Linked DNA regions of Cricetulus griseus. The protein of the gene in region 1 purifies or fractionates together with the protein of each later gene. This does not show direct contact. Links are inferred from orthologs where the notes say so. Each region holds a gene or a part of one and is shown on either strand. Other genes may lie near its edges.

The links.
Region 2: the proteins of Lsm6 (region 1) and squamous cell carcinoma antigen recognized by T-cells 3 purify together in Homo sapiens (affinity purification with mass spectrometry; 4 studies listed by BioGRID and IntAct, counting the BioPlex papers as one, with this or other methods). This does not show direct contact. The link is inferred for Cricetulus griseus from reciprocal best matches to the Homo sapiens genes LSM6 and SART3.

Annotation. Positions count from the first base shown.
Region 1 is NC_048596.1:154,693,578-154,697,982, reverse strand, and holds the start of Lsm6 (U6 snRNA-associated Sm-like protein LSm6), read left to right. Parts: upstream 1-1,371; 5' UTR 1,372-1,509; intron 1,510-1,912; exon of another isoform or gene 1,913-1,931; intron 1,932-2,771; exon of another isoform or gene 2,772-2,841; intron 2,842-4,405. UniProt on the Homo sapiens protein: Plays a role in pre-mRNA splicing as component of the U4/U6-U5 tri-snRNP complex that is involved in spliceosome assembly, and as component of the precatalytic spliceosome (spliceosome B complex).
Region 2 is NC_048597.1:93,411,024-93,414,834, reverse strand, and holds part of squamous cell carcinoma antigen recognized by T-cells 3, read left to right. Parts: intron 1-2,134; coding exon 2,135-2,261; intron 2,262-3,397; coding exon 3,398-3,502; intron 3,503-3,811. UniProt on the Homo sapiens protein: U6 snRNP-binding protein that functions as a recycling factor of the splicing machinery. Promotes the initial reassembly of U4 and U6 snRNPs following their ejection from the spliceosome during its maturation.

The DNA.
Region 1 (4,405 bases):
AGCAGCTCTGAATCTATCTCTACTACTTATTTCAGTCTACATATGTAATGTATATTTGATAATTAAAGCAATCAGTGAGGAACACAGTACAATTCTTTTGAGATAAGGTTTCAAATAGCCCAGCTGATCTCAAACTCATTTTGTAGCCTCAAATGAGCTTGGATTTCTGATCCTCCTGAAGCCACACTTGGGTGTGCACTGCTGTGCCCACCACTGTGGTGCCAGAGATGTTAATGCACACCAGGCATGCCATCAACTGAGCCAAATCCTCAGCTTCCAGTTTGATTTACAAAGCAGCCTGTTTTAGGGACAGGGCATAGCACTTTTCTTCTCTGCAGACAGTTATTTGATTTAAATGTGACTTTACTTGTGTTCTTAATTTTATATTTTACATTTCAAGAGCCTAAAATGCTGTCTTATCAATGTCTGTAGTTGACGGTCTTCGAGTCAGCTGAGGTTTTACAGAGGATAGAAAGATATGGCTGTTCCTTACCAAATCTCAGCCAGTTCTCTGTCTGTGGCACCAGTCACTGGTCTGTTTCTTTCGCCATTCACTAAGAGGCTCTTAGGAAAGGAGGAACCACTTTCTGTCTCAGGAAAAAGTTCTGCATTGTAGGACCTGTAAGATCTAACAGGGTGTGTAGCTGTTGTTTGAAGGTCTTATAACTGTGTTGATGATTAAACATCAGAAACAATTAAAATATAAATCTTAAATACAATATAAAAGAGAAATTAAAATATAAATGTAAAATATAAATGAGAGCATGGGTGTAGAAAAAAAGGAATCAAGTCTTCCTGTAATCTCTTCCTTCCATAAACAGTCAGCATACACTAAGAATTCATGCATTATCCCCAACCAAGTTCCCCCACAGCACTTAAATGGTATCTGCATGCTGTTTCCAATTAAACTAATTTGTAATGTCTTTTTACAATTGGCGCCATTGTAATAGAGTTGCTTTAAATTATTTATATTTTTGTAGCAAAATTGCTATGGAAACAATCTCTAACAGTAACTTAAACTTCATACATTTAATTAATATTCAGAAGTCGGTTGGGAGCTTGAGGCTTTTAACTTTTATTTGCTTTAAATTATTTAAGGCTATTTGGGGTACTTAATAGCCTATTATTTTAATCGTAAGTTTCTGTTTCCTGTCATTTTTAAGGTATTCTTTACTGTATTGGAATCTCAAAAGATTACTTCTAAATTTTTTTTCTTGGTTGTTTTGCTTTTGATTCGATTTTCTGGCAAAAAAAAAAAAAAAAAGACGGCAACATCAGAACACCGGCATTTACTTCAGCCCCTGGATGCTGAATTCACCACTGAAGAAACCAATTCTTGGAAGTGAGCGTTATGGAACGGCCTGATCCTTTTGGTCCCCGCGGGCTGCCGTAGGCAAGGAGGCCGCTGATTGGGTGAGGCAGCGAAGCGCGCTGCCGGGGGCGGTTTCGGTTTTCGCCGCGCGCGTCCGCGGAGGCCCGGCCTGTGAGGGCTCCGGATCCGGCTGCGAGGTGAGCCCGCGCGCGGCCCGGGAGGGAGGGGCGGTGGGGCGGGTGGGTGCTTGGAGCGGAGCGGTCGGCCTAGGCCGCGGAGGGCCGGGGCGGGCGGGGTTGCGGCTGGAGCCCAGGCCGGCCTGCGAGCAGCGGAAGGCCGTCAGGGCCACGCGGCCTCGCGCTCCCGCGCCGTGCGGTCCTGCCGTGCGCGCGCCGGGCGCCGGCTGTGTCAGCCCGGGTTAGGCGGCCGCCGCTCCCGCGCCCCCCTCCTCCGTGCGCGCTCGAGTCCCTCCACACGAGGACACGAGGAGCCGGGGAAAGGATCCCTGCTGGGCGCTTCCGTCTGCCCACTCCTCTCCTCCTGTGTGTGCCTGCTTCTCTTTCCGCTAGTACTACCAGAAATACTCGGTCTTCTGTCTACGTTAAACACATGCAGCCAGGTGTAACTTTAACATTCATTGCTTTTGTTTTGTCATTGCCTGGGTCCCATAAGTGACTCCGGTGTTTCCCCGATGGCTTCATCTTAGCGTCCATGCGATCCTGGGATGCACTTCCCGCCCTTGACTCTATTTCTCACCATCTCCTTGGACAAGTTCTCAGAGGAGAAGTCATTGGGTTAGATAGTTCTTGCACGTTGCCGGGTTGGTTCTCTTTAAAGTGTTAGTAAATTACCTCGTTCGTGTGTGACACCGGTTCTTTCACCAAATCCGTGAACACGCCTCCTGTGTTTCTAACAGTAGCAGAGTACAGCCTCTCTTTGGAATCGTTACTGATCTCGTTTAAACTTGCACGGAGTTTCTCAGTCTGGCCTTGAACTTTGGATCTTCCAGCAGTTGTGGTTCCGGGGTTACTTCAGGCATTGTTATTTTTTATTGTAATGCCTGTCGTTCTGCCATCAAGGTTTTCCTGCCGAATCTTCGTAGGAGGGGCAGGGAGAGAGAGAGAGCTGGTATTAACTGTGTGTGTTGGTATTACTGCACAACTTAACCACGTGCTTACTGGTATTCTCTCTCTCTCTCTCTCTCTCCCTCCCTCCCTCCCTCCTCCCTCCCTTCCTGTCTCTCCCCTCCTCCTCCCCCGTGTGTGTGTGTGTGTGTGTGTTGTGTGTGTGTGTGTGTGTTGTGTGTGTGTGTGTGTGTGTGTGTGTGTGTGTGTGTGTGTGTGTGCGGTGTGTGTTGGTATTAACTGTGTGTGTGTTGGTATTACTGCACAAGTTAACCAGATGCTGGAACAGAAAGACATAGTCAGTAACCATCTAGCATAACTCCCTTATTTTTCAGATGAGCCTGGGGCCATGAGAGGTGAGATGGGTAGCAGAGGAGATTAGAATACAGGTTACCTGCCTCCCAAGTGAGTACCCTTAACTACTGCATCAGGTCTTCTCTCACTGAAGGGTGGCCTAATAGAATTTTTTTTATTTGATTTTTTTTTTAATTCCCTGGCTTGCTTTCTCCTTTTATAATGAAGGACTGGAAAATAGAAAAGTCACTTTTTTTGTGTGTCCAGAACTAGAAATTTATTAGAATGCCAACCCATTCAAGATTTTAATGGTTGTTTTCAGGTTCTCAGTGTTGGGATAAAATACTCCTGATAAGTAAGACAGTTGTCCCTCAGTATCTGAGAGGGACTGGGTACAGAGCTCCCAATATTAAAAAGTGCATGGATATTCAAAGTTCCATATGTGTGTTTGCATATAACCTATGCAGTCTTCCTATGTTGTTCACATCATCTCTAGATCACTCACAATGTGTAATAGGATGTAAATGGTTGCAATGGAATATTGCTTAGGGAGTAATGACAAGGGAAAAGCCCTTTAGCTCTGTAACAGGTAAAACCATTGGAGCTGTAATTGCAACTTCATGTTACTAGATGTTGGCTGGATACACAGATAAGGAGAGGTGACTAGTTTATGTACTCATCATCTGGTTCTCATTTACATCTTGATTATTCTAAAGTACCTTGCTTGTTGTTTAAACCAGAAAATAAGGTTTGAAGAGGAGGGGAGGAGGTGGTAGTGGCAGTCATTCTGTGAGTTGACACGTTGCATCATATAGTCCTTTGTTGTAAAGGACTAGACTCTACACCAGTGGTTCGCAGCCTGTGGGCCGAGTCCATGAAAGACCCTTTCATGGAGATCACATAGCAGATATTTACATATGATTCATAACAGTAGCAAAATTACATTTATGAAGTAGCAATGAAAATAATTTTATGGTTGGGGTCACCACACATGAGGAATTATATTAAAGGGTTGCAGCATTAGGAGGGTTGAGAACCACTGCTCTACACTGTAGACTGTTGAGGGATGTCCTTGGCTTCTCTTCACTAGAGTCTGATTCCCGCTTTGACAATACATAATGTCTGTAGACATTTCCAAATGTTCCTAGAGGGTGGGGCACAAAAATCACCTTTGGTTGAGAACAACTTGCTCTTAGGAATTACCGTAGGCAACTTGATGTCAAAGTGCTTATGGTCAAGCCTGGCAACCCGAACTCAATTGCTGAACCCCACTTAGTGTAAAGAGAGAACAGACTCCCAAAAGTTATCCTGTGGCATATGCTTATTGCCCCTGCCCCACTAAATAAAACAAATGAATAAAAGCAATAAAAACAAAAAGCAAAGGACAGCCTTTTGGCTGAGTTAGCTACAGCAATCTGTGTCTGAACAGGCATCTTTGTAGATGTGGGTGTCTTGCCTTCTAAGCAAGTGCCCCTGCTTTCCTTTCTTGTATCACCTACTGGTCATTCATGAAGGTCTTACTGACTAGCAGGGTTAGAGTAGCTGGACCTGTGGTGTGTAGGTTGCTGAGGAGGGATTGGGACAGGGCTTTTGTTTGACACTGGCTTTGAATGCTTCTTCTACAGGCTTGCTCAGTCTGTTTAGGTGCCAAGGCTACCTGTCCCCTTAAAGTTTA
Region 2 (3,811 bases), on another chromosome or scaffold:
GAGGCTGAATGCTGGGTGTTTTGAGAAGCTCAGGTGTTGCCTGTGTACAGCTAGAGGAGGTGGGCGTGGTCCAGACACCTTTGCCAACAAACCTTTGATGGTGTCTCTGCCAGCCTTGCTGTGGAAGGACACTCACTGGTTTCATTGTGCATGTCCTTGCTTGCTGAAGGTGTTGATCTCACTCAGTCTTGTTTGCTGTCCGATTGTCCTCAGAAAAGTGTTTTGTCTTTTTTCCTTTCCTTTTTTTTTTTTTTTTTTTTTTTTTTTTTTTTTTTTTGAGATAGGATCTTTTATGTAGACACTGCTGACCTAGAACTTGCTGTATAGACCAGGCTGTCCTCAAACTCAGAGATTTGCCTACCTCTGCCTGAATGCTGGAATTAAAGACACATGCCACCACATATGAGCAATTATGCTCTCCTTGAAACAAGATTTTTCAAAGCAGCCAAGGCTGACCACGAACTCAGTCTTCCTACGTCTGCCCTTTCAGTGCTGGGGTTGCACCATGCCTGACTCTGTGTGGAGTGTCTTCACTGAACTGTCCTGGCTCCAGGCTGTGCTGCTTGAGTGTAGCCGTCTCTCCTTCCCATTCCCCCTTGCAGCTACTGTCTTGGGTCAGATGGTCTTAATGGTCTGTTTCTTCCTTACATGACTTAGAACCCTGAGGAGACGCCTCTCTGTGTGCTTACCAGTGCCTCTGTTCCTGTTCTTTCAGGGTGGATCTCCTAATGCTATTCTTTTTGTTGTTGTTGTTGTTGTTTTTTGAGACAGGGTTTCTCTGTGTAGCTTTGGAGCCTATCCTGGCACTCGCTCTGGAGACCAGGCTGGCCTTGAACTCACACACCTGCCTCGACCTCCCGAGTGCTGGGATTAAAGGCATGCGCCACCACCGCCCGGCCCTAATGCTATTCTTAAACTCGTCCTTTGTGTGGATGTGTAAGAGTTAAAAATATTTACAGCTTTTAGCTTGAGAAGTTTCAAATGTAAACCTATATACCTAGACAGAAGGCAGGCAGAAGGCCAGGACTGCACCAAGCAAGGTCTGTGTTCCAGAGTAGGAACACATGATTCTGGAGAGATGGCTCAGTGGTGAAGAGCAGTTAGCAGAGGACCAGAGCTCTCTTGGTTCCCAGCACACAAATGTGGTGGCTCACAACACCTGTAACTTCAACTGGGGGTGGCCTCTTAGGACAACTGATGTCACTTATCCCCATATAGACATAATTAAAGAAAATATTAAAAATAAAAACAATGAGCTGGGCGGTGGTGGCGCACGCTTTTAATCCTAGCACTCGGGAGGCACAGGCAGGTGGATCTCTGTGAGTTCGAGACCAACCTGGTCTACAAGAGCTAGTTCCAGGACAGTCTCCAAAGCCACAGAGAAACCCTGTCTCGAAAAACCAAAATAATAAATAAATAAATAAATAAATAAACAACAACAACAACAAAAAAAAACCAATGAGAAAACTATGAACATGGTAGTGTCAGTTAAGACTCAGCCCAGGCCTGGCGTTGGTGGCACAAACCTTTAATCCCAGCACTTGGGAAGCAGAGGCAGGTGGATCTTTGAGTTTGAGGCCAGCCTGATCTACATAGTGAGTTCCAAGACAGCCTCCAAAGCTACACAGAGAAACCCTATCTCAAAAAACAAAAAAGACAAAAGAAGACTGAGCCCAGGTGTCAGTGGCTGGAATGTTGTGCAAGTTACCTTGTTGTGCAGTTGTTTTGTAGGTGTGGGATGTGCGCCAGAGTTGGTTGCTACAGTCGTGCTATTTATTTATGGCTCCCACACCAGCCTCTTGCTGTCCTTACTTGTTCAGTGTCATGAAAGAATTCATATGGCACACCTGCAATGTCGAAGTGCCTATGCGTTCTGTGGGCTGGAGACTAGCAGTGCCCCAGATGGAAGCTGAGGCTGTGGAGGACACTGGTGACTTCCTAAGGGTGGTACTGTCTCAGTAGAGAGGGCCCAAGGGGAGGGAGCTTCCTGTTAGGATAAGAACACCTCTCACTTCTGTGTGACGGGGCTGGTGCCGCTTAGCTCACTCAGTGGCCTCCCAGGCTAACATCAGGTCTGTTTGGGACAGATGTGTCTGTTGTTACCAGAGGTGACAAATGCTAACTTTCTTCTTAGCTGTCCATCAACGGCTATGACTACAACTGCCATGTGGAGCTGATCAGGCTGCTGCGGCTGGAAGGGGAGCTCAACAAAGTGAGGATGGCCCGACAGAAGATGAGCGAGCTCTTCCCCTTGACTGAAGGTAACGCTGCCCCGGGGGTGGGGGTGAGGGGCTGCTTTTGGTTCAGAGAGCTGAGGTGAAGGAGATAAAGGAAGCCAGCTGCTTCTCATTTCATTGCCTTAGACAGTGTTCTGTGCTGCAGATTCACATGTGGAACATTATGAGAAACAGTTTCTTTAACGTAATTTAACTTCACTGTGGTCACTGTCCCATTCCACAGATGTGTACTTAGCCTATGCTCATAGTGCTATGGAATTGTAAATTTAGGTAAACATTTATAGTTTTAAAATCTCTTTTTAAAAATCTTTATGTGTATGGGTGTTTTTGCCTGCATATATGTGTATGTGCACCAGGTGGCCAGAAGAGGGAGCCAGATGCCCTGGAACTGGAGTTCTAGACAGTTGTGAGCCACTGTGTGGGTGCTGGGAATCAAACCTGGGTCCTGTGGAAGAGCATCCAGTGCTCTTAACCACTGAGCCATCTTTACAGACTCTAAACTGAAATAGTTTTAAATGCAGTTGTTTCATTTTGGTACAGTAATTGTACATTTTGTTTACTTCCACGCATTTGCTTCTGAGAAATATACTTGTAGGAATTGGCTCTGTGACTGGGTCTTTTTTTTTTGTTTTTTTTGAGACAGGGTTTCTCTGTGGCTTTGGAGGCTGGAACTCACTCTTGTAGACCAGGCTAGTCTCGGAACTCACAGAGATCCACCTGCCTCTGCCTCCCGAGTGCTGGGATTAAAGGCATGTGCTACCACCACCGACTGTGGCTGGGTCTTGCTTCGTATTTGTAACTGGCCTTTCAGCTCAGAAACCCTGGCCTTGGGTGTGTCTCTGTTCCATCTTCCTTTCACAAAGCCCAGCTCAGGTGGAGCTGCTGAGAGAGACCACATTGCACATGTCTAATGAGGCTTCTCACTAGCAGACTAAGCAGATCATGGCAACAGTGGAGACTCAGTTTCCCACAGTCAACTAAAGGTAGCAGTAGTTCTTGCCTGATACATGACAGAGTAGGATCCATTTCTTGGGACAGGTGTGTCACATACCAACTGGCTCTGAGTCGTCAGATACAGGTTATCACTCTTTTAAGAACTGGATCTCTGGGAACCTTGGGAGCATGTGAAGGCGTGTGCTGAGGTGTGCTGTCATCTCTAGAGCTCTGGCTGGAGTGGCTGCATGATGAGATCAGCATGGCCATGGACGGCCTGGACCGAGAACACGTGTATGAACTCTTCGAGAGAGCCGTGAAGGACTACATCTGTGAGTGCCCGGGCCCTGGGGTGCTGGTTGCGCCAAATCTTTACTGCCTTATGATGCATTGTGAGTTGTTGCCAGGAAGTTGGACTTTGTTTTCTTTGTGCTGTCTTAGTGCTGAATAGAGATTATTTGGGCTTAAGACAAAAGTGGAGAAATATTCGTAGGAAGAGAGTAAATTAAATGCCTCACTCAGCATCTGTCTGTCAGGGAGGACTTACACAGGATTTCTAGGCACTTAAAGTTTAGCATGTATCTCTTGATTGAAACAGACTCACTCTGTAGCCCAGGCTAGACTTCAGTTTGTGACCCTCC